Linked DNA regions of Alligator mississippiensis. The protein of the gene in region 1 binds, or shares a complex with, the protein of each later gene. Links are inferred from orthologs where the notes say so. Each region holds a gene or a part of one and is shown on either strand. Other genes may lie near its edges.

Region 1 (7,333 bases):
TTCAAGAAAAGCAAACAATTATAGTAGTAGTTGACTGCTTCTTCTCAGAGGGCTACACTTATATAAACAGTCTCTAAAAGCATCAATAGAAACAAATAACATAACATATTATGAAATACATTCAAATATCTTATTCATTTTTATTGAAATATTATAGACCATACTTCTAAAAGAGCCACAACTCTTTTGCCTCTCAAAAATGTTGATGTTCAAGAGTATCTAATCATTTCACTCCCCGGTAAAAGTTTTTTACTAAAATGCTGAATTCTATAGCATGGAATTATTTGTGTACACAATTTTTTGGGAGCTAAAAAGGCCAATAATGTTTTTCTAATATAACATCTATTTTGTGAATTCTTTATTCATTGTAGATCAATATATGAGCACATGCTGCAATGTTGTCTTTCTAGCCAATGGAAAAAAGTAGATTAATGTCATTTACCTAAAATCTTACTATACTATGTAACCTGCTCTGCTATAGGAGTAACATGGGACCATCCCTCAAGTACGTACCCCGACAATGCTGATACTCTGATTCCATGTGATTAAGGTGTTCAAAATTTGCCTCCTCACTCCTGTATTATTACGAATATTCTTTGCAACACTTATTTCAAGGGGGGGAGGAGGTAGGGGGCACTTCACTTGCAAATCAAAACTTATCTTTTAATTTCTTTGAAGATTTTTCCTAGCATACAATGAACATATAAATGGAACCAGGACAGTTACAATTAAAATAGAGAATATTCTTTCTGAGCAAAAAAGAACCTTTTTATAACTTCTGCAACTTTTTCAGATAAATTTATATTTGGCTTTTCTCAAATTCTGAATTAAACATTTTGAATACTGCTGTATTAAGCCAAGTTCAATGATTAGGTTTCATTTGGTTATTAAAATATAGACGGCAGACTAACTAGAAAAGATTTGTCACAAAACTGAAATTGAGTAGCCACAATGATCTATCTTAAGAATTAAAAAAAAAACCCTCTTCCTAAGTGAAATCAAGGACAGCTAGTCACTTTGTATTACAGTTGCTATTAGCCCATAAAACCATCACAGTCAAAATGGCAAAACTCATCTTTTTCCTCTTATTTTGTCACTTGTGTTGAGTACCTTTACATTACAGTGAGGTCCACAAAAACACATTGGTTAAGCTTTTTTTCAGAAGTTGATCAGCACCACACACAATTAGCCCTTTTTGACATAGCGTTCTGTTGTTGCCTTTCAAACATTTAGCTTGTTCCAGGGGCTACTGTGAAATGTTAAATACTTGCAGGGTCAAGGCTGGAAAAGGCGCTTGATGCTAAAGGGAATGTAGCGTATTCTTGCAAAAGCATCAAGGCTAGAGATCTCCTGGGATATCAGGTCCCCACTCATATTCCACAAGAGTCATGCTGAGCTTCTCTCTTAGCATATTTCTCCTGAGCCTTTAATTCCACCTTAGCTGTCCATTATGGCTATGCAGTTCTCACTTTGAGTCCTAGATGGAGAAGGTACTGTCAATAGAGACAGCAGTAATTTCTACATTAATTCTCCCCAGAAATCCATGGATCTTGAGGGGAATACATAACTGCCTTTCACTTACTGCCAGTCTTGCTTTACCTTGTTCACCATACCTTAAAAACACAAAAGAACCATGTAGGTGTTTGAACCGAAGGTCTTCTTCTGTTTTATAGAGTTGGGAATACTTGGAGTATGGCTGCCAATGCCCTGACAAGGTGAGATTTGAACCCCTGCTGGAGTCATTTTTGCACCTTTGCTCTCCTTTTGGTCATATAATAAGAAACTTCAAGCCCCTTATTCTGAAACTATATTCAGTAAAAATCCAGTTAAATGTTCTCATGCTTATCCCCAACATATTTGAAAAGATGACTCATGTTTAGTTACCTAATTGGCCAATAACTATGGAGTTTTAATGATGCACAGAAGCAGGAAAAAATATCTCTCATATTACTTCGGTGTAACAACTGTCATTATGGAAATACAGAAAGATAAAAGGGAATATTTATCATATAGTACACTATCGAATATGCTTTCCAGTGTTCATGACACTTTAATCATTTAGTCATTCACTTTATATAAACTAAATGGTACATACATTTATGCTGTATCCATTTTATGCAATATCCTGAATTCTCTCTGAAATACTTCACAAATCATCTTTATAACTTTGAACTGCTAAATGTCACCAGAAATATTTTTTAAAAGTTATGAGATTCATATTTCTTCAAAACTGTGATCACTTGACATTTACTGAATCTTACCTTTCTTCCTTTTTAAATAACATATCACATAGAAAACAATTTATCCAGGTGCATTAAGTTATTTTTAATTCTGCTATTTTGGTTGATGGAACCTACAGACCTGTTAGGGAATATGCCCTGAAATTTTACATTTAGAATTTACACTTTAAAGAATATTTTAAAGATTTTTTCAACATCTAACATATGGACTGAAGCTAAGCTCTTGCGAAGAGCTGTAGAAACCAAGACCAAGTGATATAACCTACCCAAAGCTTTGCTTCACTGCATCAGTACTAAGGGAAAAAAGCCACTGTAGCTCTAGATGCCCTCCTTAATGGCAAATGAGGTGAAAAAAGAAATCATTCACACTTCTAGTTTTCATATTTTATGGACATTAAAAAATATGCAAGTAAGACCAGGCAGTTCTATTTATATTACAGTGCAAATAAACAGGGTTCAGCATATCATTTATATTTTTTAAAGACAGAAATAAAGTGCACAAGCAGATTTTGTTTTAGACCTGGAATATTTTGATAAACATAGCTAGCATACAGTCTACCACTTACTGTGAATATTTTACCTCCAGTGTTACTGCTGAGATCCAGAACGTAGAAAGCTCCAATGCAGCTTACTGACATTCAGCTTAACCAGTTACAGAAAACTTCCTCATTTTTCAAATCATCTTTATTTTTGTTGTTTATAAAACCTCTAAGATCCCAAGACTTCCGTAACTACATGAAGAGAGGGTGGACCTCGGACATTACCTCCATAAAAAAAAAGGTCATTAAAGAAAAAAAAAAAGATTAGTTCCCAGTTAGTTTCTGCTAGCACAGAAGTTCAGATTTCGTTGCTGAGATCATTGCTCTATTCTAAGCAGTTTTGCTCAATGTGTGATTCTAACAAAAACACCCTCTGCAGCTGGAGGGAGCCTTAACTAAGCAGAATTCTGTCAAGCCTTTCCCAGTGACTTGTGTCTACTAAATTCAGACTGATGTTTTGTGAAAGGGGCCTCAACAACCAGGCCCAGATTGCCTGAAAAGTATTTCCTGCCTTTGAGTAGCGTGTGTGTGTGTGTGTGTGTGCGTGCGCGCATGTGTGTGTGGGTGTGTGCGCGTGTGCGAGTGAGCAAGAGAGAGAGCAAGAGAGAGACTGCATAGTGGAGGGAAAAAAGAAAAAAAAAGACAACAAATAGTGTTTCAAGATCTGTGATTTAGCAGACATCAGAGACAACTCAAACTATTTAGGAGATTTATGATGTCGTTACATAATTTAAAAGTATGGCTGATTTACCAAAAATATTCTGCAAGAATATACCATGCATATGAAACTGAACTACCATCCTCAAAGACAGGAGAATGTCTTTGAATGTTCCTTTGCTCTTTTGCACTTCAGAGCAAGAAATGAGCAAAGAGCAAGTTGGCTTACATATAATAATACATCACATTTACATTCCCAGTGCACTTTGAAACATGAAACACACAGAATTCTATAGATATAGTTCATAGTGAAAACATATTTTTACTGATGAAATTCAGTTGGATCATGAGACATTAATGTCATTACAGTTTAAAAGTTCTTATAGCACAGGCAGTGGTACATGCTGCTTTACCTCTATTGAGAATCCTCCAGTGTCACACAAATCCAGCTTTGCAAAAGGACAGACTCCATCTTGATCATATTAGAATTTTGCTGACATAAAACAGTTGTAACTACTTTCCAGTTTGACAGGGTGCCTGAATCACGTCTCTAGAACAGTCCACAGCATCTACATCCTACGTTCTACACAAGTTTTGTGAAACTATCATCTGTTTATCTTTTCTGCTTTCTTCTGCCTCCTCTGAATGATTTCCTCTTAGTTGCTCCAGCCTGGGAACTTGGATTACCATTTGGTTTTGATTAAAACCAGACAGACAGCTCTGTAGAAGTTGGAGAGTAAGCTAATGGAAATCACCAGTATGGCTTTAATTTGTGTATCAATTAATAATAAATGTTAACTATTCACACGACACACATTACTAACACTCAAACCCACACCCCCACACAACATTAAGCCTGTAGGGGTCATTTTTAGGCAGAATAATGGAAATATTCCCACATCATTTAGTACGGTTAAGCAAGGCACATGGGAAGGATGCTCTTGTGTGTCACCAAACTACAGGATGGACCCAAACTAACTTCTTTTTTTCTTTGTTTATTAAAAAGGGAAGGAAGGGTTTTTGCTGAGTTTAATTATATAAGTTGCACAGCATTTTCTTTTTGTTCATCCATTTATCGCATGCTAAAAAACATTTTATAGTTATTTAAGACTAAGGGTAAGTACAGACACTCGAAAAGTTCAAGGTGGAATCAAGTGGTTTTCTGTAAGCGGTGTAGTTTAAATCAGCAATGAACGGAACACACATTCACCTTTTGGTGGGGGGCAAATCTTAGATGCTTTCTGCCATTTTTAAACCAGTCTGTGTGCCAAACGTCTGTTCTGTTATGGGTATAGACTGGTTTCCAACCACTTATACTGGTAAAAGTGTAGTGTCTGTACCTGACTTAAATGAATTGGGTTCTTACTGATCCAATTAATTGTAGTGTTTGGTGTCCTGTAGATGCAAGAAAAAGTGCAAAGTCATGGAGATAACTTCCAACTTAAATCATAAAACAAACTACCTGCTTTACTCACAGTAGTATCTGAACAACTAGGGAAAATTCTGTTTTTGGCTTCACTTTGTGGTTCTCTAAAATTTAGAACAAGGTATGTACTGATAGAACAATGGCAGACATTGTACCTAGCAGTTGATCCATTAACTTTCTTAAGAAATTCTGCAAGGCTACTCTTTTTAGGATGAATCTCCAACTGGCATTTGTGCAACAAAAGATGGTGGATTCTGCCAAATGTATAAAGTTGTTCTCAGCTATCACCTAATATGGACCTATCTGGCCCTAATTTACTAAGCCTTAGATCCTCAACATGTGGAAAGTTTTGTGTTAAATTTTGCAAAATGTGGTCTTCATTCCTATGAGTGTAATTTTATATGTGCATTTTCAAGCCCTGAAATTGTGGTATTAAGTCTTGAATCTGGGCTTGCAAAGTTATACATGCACAAATGGAGGCTGGACTAAAGCCTCTTTTTAAAAGTTGATCCATTATTGTCAGCAGATGTTGTGCATGTGGAGAAAGGCATGCATAACTTAAGGTTGAATAACTAATTCACCTAATCAGGTTCCCCATTACTATGAAGATGAAGATCTTAGAAATATATAAAATGAAACAATAATAATACTCAGATGTGAATTAAATACACTGCAATCTTGCAACTTGTAAATGTAACTATTTCAGCTAAATTGTTTATTCAAAGGCAAACTCTAGCACTAAAGCACAATACACTGGGGTGATACTTAATATTTTTCTGGAGGATTTTCATTTTATAGTTCAATGAATGAATGATGAGAAAGACTTATGCTAAAACCAAAATTTCTGTTTTGCAGAAAATCCATTATTTTGAAATTTGCTTAGTTCTGAATGAGAGTGAAAACAAAGACATTTCAAATGCCCTGCATTTATTCTTTACTGTTTAATTATAATTTTCAAAATGAAAAAAACAAAATATTCTCCCTCAGAAAGGTTGCAAGATAGAATTTCAGCCTAATCAAAATATTTTTTCTCAATTTCTTTTCCTAAGGCAAAATTTTGTCAGAAGTCAAGATATTCCATTGGGAGGTTTCACATTCAATAAACTATTATTTTTCCATGGAAACATGTTCTTTTTGTTTTTCAGTACTATATACATGTAAATACGCTATATAAAAATTGTACGATTTCATACATAAGGAGAAAGTAAATATGTGGAAATATATTACAACAGCATTAATATATACTAACTACTAAACAGTAACAATGTCGCTGTACAGCAACATGTTGTCATGCCCTATGTATACTACTTATAACTGTGAATGTATAGTTTTACATAAAGCATCTTAGCAAATACTAATACTTTTGTAGGTAGTTAGAGTCTAGGCCTGCTATTCAGCCATACCCATGCTAATGTACAGAGAAGGCAATATAAACTCTCTCCTACATGTTATTATTTAATATGACTCTATCACATAAAGTTAACTTACTTGCTCTTCAACTCACTTGCAACAAGAATATATAGATGGCACAATCCTTCAAAATAACAGACTACATTTTTTTAAATTCAACTTTTTTAAAGGTCTGTTTTACATTTTAAACTGTGAGATATGCCTGGAAGGTGGACTCAAAGAATTTTATATATCTAATAACTAGTCCTTTTTTAAAATATTTCCAGTCCTGGTTGTATCAAATCAGGGTAAAGTGTCCACATCATGAAAGCTACCTGTTGGCACTTTTAGTCCTTGGAGGATGAAGTACAGCTCATCCCTAGATGCTATCTTTCTTGGTTACATTTAAGGCCCATCATCAACTTGCACTGCTAATGTCTATGATACCCATTCCACAAATAACCCAAAAGTATTTTCAAAATTGCCAGTCCAGCACCCCTTTTTGAGAGCTAAGTAATATAAACAAACCCTTCTAATATGTATACAAGTCACCTAAATTCTGGTTAGGTAACTTTGGATAAAGTATTTTGGATAAACGACTTTTCAGTACTAAGATGCTATATTTTTATTATCGTTATGTTTATTCACAAAGTATTGTGTAGGACATTAATCATTAAATTTTGGAAATAGTTTAAAAATAGAAATATCTTATGGAGGATTTCAGAAATAAATAAAATGTGGGTAGAATTCTTTGGTATCACTTGTGAGCTATTAAAGTTATTCACGTGGGGCTGTAATAAAAGAAGAATGATTTTAGAAAGGTCAGAAGACTATGTAGACTAACTGGCTCAGTAGCTACTCTACCTTGGAGCCTCTAAGGAGAAAGCAAGTGCTATGTGATTACACAAAAATAATATTTTGGATCTCTCAGAGGGGCTGAAATGTCAAACGCAAAGCCACTGCTTTTATGTTAGGGGTAAATACAACATGCATAACCTCTCAAACAGCAGACATCAAATTTAGAGATAGTATATCAAGAGATCCGGTAACCACATGAGTTGTCATTTTGATATGCACTGCAA
Region 2 (8,113 bases), on another chromosome or scaffold:
CCAGGCAGCTGGCTCTAGGCGCGGGGATCGATACAAAGAGCCCTGCGCTCCCCGTACTGCTCGGACATCCAGCTGCGACCTCAGTGAATCCAGATGTGGGGCAGGAAGAGGATTCCCATTGTGCACAGAGGGATGACATCATCTCCCGAGTCCACCTGGAAGGTCCTGCAGGTCTAGTCAAGAAGCAAGGGGCGGTGATACCTGGCTCAAAGCGGTGATGTCCTAAATGGGAAGTGGCATCATCCCATTCACCTGCGGGCACCGCGGGGTTCCCACGGACGGCCAACGGTGCTGGATGATGGATATGATGTAACCGTCGGATGACAAAGCCCCCAGGATTCCTTCGGTGATGTCACACCATGGAGGGACGATGTCACTTGGCTCCACTTGTGATCTCGCTTCAGGGCAGAACAAACGAGGACCCCTGCGATTCCCCTGCCCACATGCTGGCATTGAGGCCTCAAGGAAGAAGGGCCCAGAGGGTTGTACAACATCCTCCAACAGCAGCACAAAGAAGGGGCTATTTTTAAGGCTGAACTTTGGATGATCTTGACCCCAACATCCCCCATCCCCCCCCAGCCCTGCCATCACCCCCAGCATTGCAGCCGTCACCCCAGTGCCCCCACCCTATCCATCCATGACGCAGCCGGGGTTGGGGCGTAGGCTCTGTGCCAGGGGACACTAGGGCCAGGCCCTGGCATGAACCTCTGAGGGAAAACTGGGGGCAATGAGTGACAAGCCCAAGGGGCCAGGGAAGGGCAGTGGCAGGGCTGGGGACAGCAGCCTAGCTTCCTATGTGCGCATGCATACATGCACGCACACATCAATGCACATGCACGCACACATAAAGACACATGCACACCACTCATGCACTTGCATACATGCCCATGGGCACACAAGAAGACAGGCAGGTACATGAGCACACATACATGCACACATGTGTGTGCACACGCACACGGACACACACACACACATCACCACAGAACAACACCGCAGCCGATGTGGGAGCGGGAATGTGTTTCTAATTATCCCCTTCCCGCCACTGGATTTAGGCTCTCCTCCCCCTTCCCGTCCACACCTCCTTCCGCCGGGGTCTGAACCCCCCGGGGCTGGGGCTCCCTCCCCATCACCCCCCAGTCCCGGGCTCCCTTCTCCACCTGCTCCAGGGGCCCGAGCCGGGTGAGATCCCGGCTCCTGCTGGCACTGCCAAGTTTGCTCTGGCACAGAGGGAACTATGATTAAGCCATGTGTGCGTGTGCGTGTACGTGTGCGTATGTGTGTGTGTGTATGTGTGCGCGCGCACGTGTGTGTGTGTGTATGCCAAAGCCAAGGGGGGGCTGTGGGGGAGTGGAGCAGGAGGTGGAGTTTGCAAGATCCAGAGGAAAAAAACAGTGCGGAGGAAGAAGGCAGCGTGGGGCTGCGTCCGCGGGGGAGACTGCATGGGCCGGGGGGCAGGCGCCCGCTGCTGGGACCGTGGCTGCTGTCAGGGGCCCCCAGCGCCCGGGACCCGCACGAGCCACGGCCGGATGCAGCTGCCCAAGGTGCGATGCCTGTGGGGTCGGGGCAGGGGGCAGGGAGCAGGCCAGGAGAGCCCCATGGTGGGCAGGGGCATGGGGGGTGGCAGGGCCAGAGCGGAGTATCGTGGGGGGGGTGATGGCAGGGGGGTCAGGGCCTGGCAGAAGATGTTTTGCAAACGGCGTCACAACCGGGCGCTGGAGCAGGGAGCTGGAGCCAGGCGCCGGGTGACAACCCTGCCAGCTCCCGCGCTCACTTAACCTCGCACTGCCCGGAGCCCTGGTGGCAGCCAGCTCCCGGAGCCTTCCTGACCCCGGCTCTCCCGCCCTGGAGCATGAGGATGGCACCCCCCTCCCCCAGGTGTGTTCCCGTGGAGATGCCCAATTGGGTGCCTGCCCATCATGACCCAGGAAGCATCCCAGCTGCTGGGGGGGCTCATCCTGGGGGTGCCCAGACAGGGCCTGCTCTGCCCCCCACCTCTCAGGCCTCCTCCGCAGCCCTGCCCCTGCCCCCCAGCAGCCTTGATCCCGAACCAGCACAGGAAACGCTTTACATTTTTTTCGGTTCAAGCCTGGTTCAGGGAGTCCCGAGGTCCGGGCGCAGCGTGAAAGGGCCCGGGGGCAGCAGGATGGGGCAAGGCTTCCCGGGCCCACGGCGCTGGCAGGCGGCAAGCGGGTTTTGGCAGAGGCGTCCACACCCAGAGCCAGCGGAGGGGTTGCCAGGACACGTGGGCCTGCACCCCCGTTCCCTGGCTGCCCCTGCTGTGGCTTCCTGGGACAGTGCCCAGGTGGCCGGATGGCGAGCTCTGTGTGGCACGCAGTGCCGGGCACTGGGCCCCCTGGGCGGGGAAGGGGGTCCCTTGGGCTGCAGCTGGATCTGCGCAGGGGGCGGGAGCTGTGCCACCTCCTGGGTTTATTGCTGTTGGGGCCTGCTAGAGCACACCCCTGCCCTGCCCACTGAGGGGTTAATGAAGCCTCCTGCAATTAGCCAAAGGTAATTAAAGTAATTCTGTGGTGCAATGGGCCAAATGCCACCACCAAGCGGGGGAGCAGGAGAGTGGGGGGGCCGAGTCTTGCCAGAGCCGAGCCGCCCAGGCCTGCAGCTTCCTGGGCCGTGGGTTCGAATCCCGCACAGCTGCTCCAGTGTCGGGTGCAGGGCGCTGGGTTCTGGGGTCCCCAGCTCCCGGGGGGGGGGGTCGTAGCCCAGCTGAGACCGGACAGACTCGTCACACCGGGGACCCTCCTTGCCCAGCCCCAGGGATTTAAAACCCAGGAGTCCTGCCTCCCCCACGCCCCCAAGGCCAGGCCACAGGGGGGCGCCCCCAGAGCTCTCCATCCCCCATGGAGAATTTGCCCCTGAGGGGGGCAGATCCTGCCCCCAGGCCTGGGGTGGGAGAGGTGCCAGCAAGGTGCTGCAGGGGGGCAGGATGGAGCCCCCCGCCCAGCTGAGCACTGTCCTATTAACCCTTTCAGCTCGGGGGTGGGGGGCCAGGCAGACCTCTGACATTAACCCTTTCTTGCTCCTGGCTGCCCCGCCCCACGCAGAGGGGGTTAACCCTTTCTGTGCCCCAGGGCTGGGACTGGGAGGGAGGGGCACCCCTGGGATTAACCCTTTCCGCTCTGTGGGGGGGCACGAACCCCTCCTGGTACCCCAGTAGCTGGGCTGGGGGTGCCCCCCCTCGCCCCCAGGTTAACCCCTTCAGCTCTGCAGGGAGACTCCCACCCCTTGGAGATTAACCCCTTCTGCTCATTGGAGGGGGGGGTGTCTCAGACCTTAACCGCCCCCCCCCCCACCCCGCATTAACCCTTTCAGCCCTGGGGGGGTCTAAAACCTCAACCCCCCCCTCCAGATGATCCCCCTCTGATCCCCAGGGTTTAACCCCTTCTGCCCGGGGATCCCAGGGCTCTCCCCGATTAACCCCTTCTGCCCCGGAGCCGGGCGACCCACCCCCTGGCCCGGGCTTAACCCCTTGTGCCCCGGGGCGGAGGGGGCGGGCTGCCCCCTCATTAACCCCTGGCGCTCCGGGCGGAGCAGCCGCGGCCCCGCCCCGCAGGAAGCCGGCCCGGGGCGGGGGTGAGGGCGGCGGCCGCGGACCCGGAGCCGGCGCCGGAGCCATGAAGGTACCGCGGGGCCGATCCGGAGTCGCTCCGCGCTCCGTTTCCACGCCGGGGCGGGGCAGGCACAGCCGCGGGGCGGGGGGGAGGCTCCCGCCAGCCCATAATAACCCCGGTGCTTCCAGGCGTTGCCGTGGAGACCCCTCCCCCCCGGGCTGGGCGCTGCTGCGGCCGTGGGAACGGGGCCGCTCCGGATTGGACCGGGAGGGGGGGGGTTCGTGTGACAGGGCAGTCGTGCAACACGGTCTCGTGTGACAAGGCTCATGTGCCAGGGCGTCGTGCAAGGGTCTTGTGTGACAGCACTCGTGCAACAGGCTCATGTGACAGGGTCTCGTGTGGCGGCACTCGTGCGACGGGCTCGTGTGCCAGGGCGTCGCGCAATGGGCTTTCATGGGACGGCACTTGTGCAACAGGCTTGTGACAGGGTCTCGTGCAACAGGGCCTCGAGTGGCGGCCCTCGTGCGACGGGCTCGTGTGGCGGCACTCGTGTGACGGGCTCGTGTGGCGGCACTCGTGTGACGGGCTCGTGTGCCAGGGCGTCGCGCAATGGGCTTTCATGGGACGGCACTTGTGCAACAGGCTTGTGACAGGGTCTCGTGCAACAGGGTCTCGAGTGGCGGCCCTCGTGCAACGGGCTCGTGTGACAGGGTCTGGTGCGATGGCACTCGCGCGATGGTCTCGTACCACGGGGCGCTCGTGCGGCAGGGCCTTGTAGGACAGGGGCCTCGTGCAACAGGCCTGGAGGGACAGGGGCTTGCACGCGGCAGCCCCAGGGGGCCGGGGGCTGCACTGCCCGGGACCCCCTGCGGAGGCCTGGCCCTGGCTCCAGAAGAGGGGCGGGAGCTGGGAGAGGCTAGGCTGCTTTTCTAGCCCTGAGCAGGGGGGAGTCACTGCAGGGGGAAGCACAGCCCGAATATTAGCAGCATTACGGTGCCCCAGGACCCGCCCTGGGATGTGGGGGGCCACAGCAGGGACCTCGCCCTGGCCCCCCAGGCTGGCTGGAGCGGGCTGCTCTGCTCCTGGGGGGCCTGGGGTGCTCTGTAGGGGTGCATGGGCTGGGGGCTCAAGGATGGCCCCGGGGGTGCGAGCCGTGGTTGTGCAGCTCCTGGCGCGCAGCGGGGTGCCCCAGACCCCCGGAGGTTCCCGGCCTGTATCCACCCCTCGGATCGGAGCCAGAGCAGGGGCTGGGGCCAGGCCTGGTGCGGGGCGGGGGCACCAAGTGCCTGGAAAGTCCCTGGCCCAGGCAAGGCGCGTCCCAGCCCGAGGTCCTGGCGAGGACACGGAGGAGGACAGGGAGGCAGCAAAGCAGGGGCCAGGTTGGGGGCAGGCAGGGAATGTGTGTGTGTGGGGGGGGGGGCACGTGTGCGTGCCCAAGTGCGGGGGCTGTGTGTGTTTGGAGCTGGGGGAGGCTGCGTGTGTCACAGCAGGTGTGTGGGAGGCCGTATGGGGCAGCGCTGCATGCGATGCGGCCACACACGTGTGCAGGTCCGGGCCAGCTTGCACGTGTGGTGGCTGCCTGCACACATGTGCATGTGCACACGTCCTTGTGCCCCCCTGTGCACCGGCCTCTCCCTGCTGAGAGCTGATGTCAGCGCGCGCGGCCAGCCCCCACCCTGCCCCGTCCCTGGCAGGCCCCGGCGCTGACGCCAACCCGAGGTCCAGCCCCGGGAGTGGGCCGGAGCCGAGCTGCATCCTGCCTGGCTCAGGGCCGATGCTGGCGGTGTCATCGGTGTCACGAACCCCTCAGGGCTCAGCCTGCCCTCTCCCCTGGCTCCTCGGGCTCCCTTGGCCTGCCTGGGTCCCCTGTGGGGCATGCAGCCTGCCTGGGCCAGCCCCAGGCCACTGCAGACCCCGGACCCTGGCAGGCCCTGGGCCATGGCAATGACCTCAGCACCACGGGAAGGAGCTATTGTGCGTCAGGAAGCCCCGTCCTGCCGCAGGCCGGCCCTGCCTCATTGTTTCCAGCTGCACGTCCGATCCCACGGGCAAGCAGGCGCTGGCCAGCAGGACCCCGCTCCTGTGCTGACAGGGCGAGGGGCTGCCCAGGCCAGCCACAGTCGGGCCATGAAGCCGCGGGACACGCTGGACGTGCTGTTTCGGGTGCTGGGGCGGAGGGGCAGTGCCCGGGCGCCAGGCACGTGCAGGGTAGGTGTGACCCCCGCCCAGCTCTGCTCGGGGAGGGTCAGAGTTTCCCCTGGGAGCAGGGGTGGTCCAGGACAGCGGACCCCTGGGGATCTGGGGGCCAGGCGCAGAGTGGGTCCCCGTGGGAGGTGCCAGGGATGGGTCTGACCCGGTTCCCAGGCTCGGCTGGACTAGAGGGGCCATGTGCCCTTGTCCCAGACTCACTGCACAGTGCCGAGCGCGAGGGGCTCCTGCCAAGTGACTTGGGAGCTGCCTCTGAGTGCCAAGGCTGTACCTGGGGGTGGGGGCAGAGGGGTGGGAGTCGAGCCTCTGTCCTGCCCAGGTGTGCAATGAGCTACCTAATCTCAGCCCAGGTCCTGGCTCTGCATGCGTGTGTGCGCGTGCATGCATGTCTTCATGCCTGTGCCTGGGTATGTGCACAGCATGTGTATGTCTGCACGTGTCACATCTGTGCAGGGGCATGCACTTCTGCCTGCATGCATGTGCATGCCTGCATGCATGTTTGTATGCATCTGTGTGCACATCTGCATGTCTACCCATGTCTGCCTGCCTGTGTCTGTGCGTGCATGTGCATCTGCATGTGCACAGGTGTGTGTGCATGTGTGGGTGCGCATGCCTACGTGTGTGTGTGTACATCTGTGTGTGTGCGTGTGCATCTGCGTGCATGTGTGTGTGAGCATGTTTGTGTGCATGTATGTCTGTATACATGTATGTGTCTGTGCGAGTGCATGTCTGCATCTGAGCCAGGGCAGGAGAACCCAGGAGTAAAATCCCCCATGGGGGTCCCATGTGCAGTGTGTGAGGCAGGGCAGGGCCTGGCGGGCTCGGGGCTGACTCGTGCCTGCAGCAGGCAGGGCAGAGGGTGCAGAGAGCAGAGGAGAGGATGCCCAGGTGCCCTCAGTGCCCGCACTCGGCCCCAGCCTGTCCCCTCTCGCTTCCTGCACTGGGAACACAGCGTCCAGCTGTCAGGGAGACTCCCATCCCGCTGTCACGGGGGCGTGGGAACAGCCCCCGCCCTGCCCGGGCCATGCTGAGGTCTCCGGGCCAGCACGGGGCTGGCGTTGACCAGGTTGGCATCTCCCCCATTGCTGCCCGCCCCATCCCTTCTCTTGCCCTTTCCATCCCACCCTCCGTATCTCTGCCCACTTTCCTCTCTCCCACAACCCCCCCCCCGCCATTTCCCCAGCTGCCAGCTCAGCCCCTCACAGGGGTCCCAGAGCAGGAGCCCCCCATGTCATGGCCCAGCTGGCAGGGGCGGGCACGGTGCCTGGGGCACGCGCACAATAGCGGGCACTGACACGCCGCGGTGGGACGGAGCCAGTGAGTAAACATGTTGTTCTGCTGCCCGGGCCTAGCCGTGGGAGGGGGGGGCGGGCACTGGCAAGGGCTGTGCCATGGCGCAGATTCCTGGGACTCCAATGGCAGGACTCAACCCCAGCCCGGCCGGCTCCTGGAGCCCCCCTGGCACACCAGGGCACAAGGCGCCAGCCCCCTCCCCGTTCGGGATGCCGGTAAGAGGTGAGGCGAGGCGGGAGCTGCACTCTGTCCGCCAGCCGTGGCCGGGGCTCAGGGCCCTGCTTGCCTGGCTCGCCTGTGCATGCAAGGGGAGTGTGCAAGGGCAGGTGCCAGAGGGGCATGTGCATGCATAAGGCATCGGTGTGTACTCAGGAGAGCGAGCGTGTCCACACTTGTGCGCACTGGTGCATGCGTGCATGGCACCTTTACTTCAGGGGTGGGTGTGAGTTCATGTGTGCACCGGGCTCCCCGTGGCCCGGCTGTTCCACTGTGGCTGGCCGTGCCCCGGCTTGGGAGGGCTGAGGCTGTCCCAGCCCATCACCGGGGTGTCAGGTCTGGGACTGGGGGGGCTCCCTGCTGTTGGCAGCCCCCCACTTCCATCCTCAGCCCCCCGCCCCGCGCCCCAATCCTGCCCTGCAGCACAGATACTCGTGTTCTCCGCCGGCTGCAACAAAGGGACCGATTCATGGCTATTTATAGCTGGGCCGGCGCGTGAAAGGCGCCCATTCAGCCTGGCCCAGACAGGGCAGCTTTCACTGCCGAGGCCCCTGCCCCAGACTACATCTCCCAGGAGCCCCCTCCTTGCCGGGTGTCCCCAGGCCCTGCCTTATTCATTCCAGGTGTGGATGGAAGTTGGGGGACGCGGGTCCTGGCTGGAGCCCTTGCCCCAACGCTGGCCGTGAGCGTGGCTAGCAGAGCGGGGGCCTGGCTAGCAGGCAATGTGGGTCTGGGGGCAGCGTCATGGGGGCACAACCCTAGCTGGTTCCTCATACCCTAGGCGATGTGTTCAGGAGAGGGGTCATGCCCAGGGTCACCCGGCAGGTCAG

The links.
Region 2: the proteins of DLC1 (region 1) and TNS2 are in contact, whole or in part, in an NMR structure (PDB 2LOZ), measured with the Homo sapiens proteins. The link is inferred for Alligator mississippiensis from reciprocal best matches to the Homo sapiens genes DLC1 and TNS2. Residues at the interface, in NP_001335010.1 of Homo sapiens: Glu811, Asp812, His813, Lys814, Pro815, Gly816, Thr817, Phe818, Pro819, Ala821, Leu822, Thr823, Asn824; in NP_736610.2 of Homo sapiens: Asp1268, Leu1269, Leu1270, Arg1271, Gln1272, Gly1273, Ala1274, Ala1275, Cys1276, Lys1317, Ser1319, Ala1320, Gln1321, Thr1324, Leu1387, Asp1388, Pro1389, Asp1390, Gln1391, Val1403, Leu1404, Leu1405, Gly1406.

The regions. Positions count from the first base shown.
Region 1 is NC_081825.1:62,126,192-62,133,524, forward strand, and holds the start of DLC1 (rho GTPase-activating protein 7), read right to left. Parts: upstream 3,213-7,333; 5' UTR 2,821-3,212; exon of another isoform or gene 2,807-2,820; intron 1-2,806. UniProt on the Homo sapiens protein: Functions as a GTPase-activating protein for the small GTPases RHOA, RHOB, RHOC and CDC42, terminating their downstream signaling.
Region 2 is NC_081838.1:9,353,229-9,361,341, reverse strand, and holds the start of TNS2 (tensin-2), read left to right. Parts: upstream 1-5,054; 5' UTR 5,055-5,441; coding exon 5,442-5,774; intron 5,775-8,113. UniProt on the Homo sapiens protein: Tyrosine-protein phosphatase which regulates cell motility, proliferation and muscle-response to insulin. Phosphatase activity is mediated by binding to phosphatidylinositol-3,4,5-triphosphate (PtdIns(3,4,5)P3) via the SH2 domain.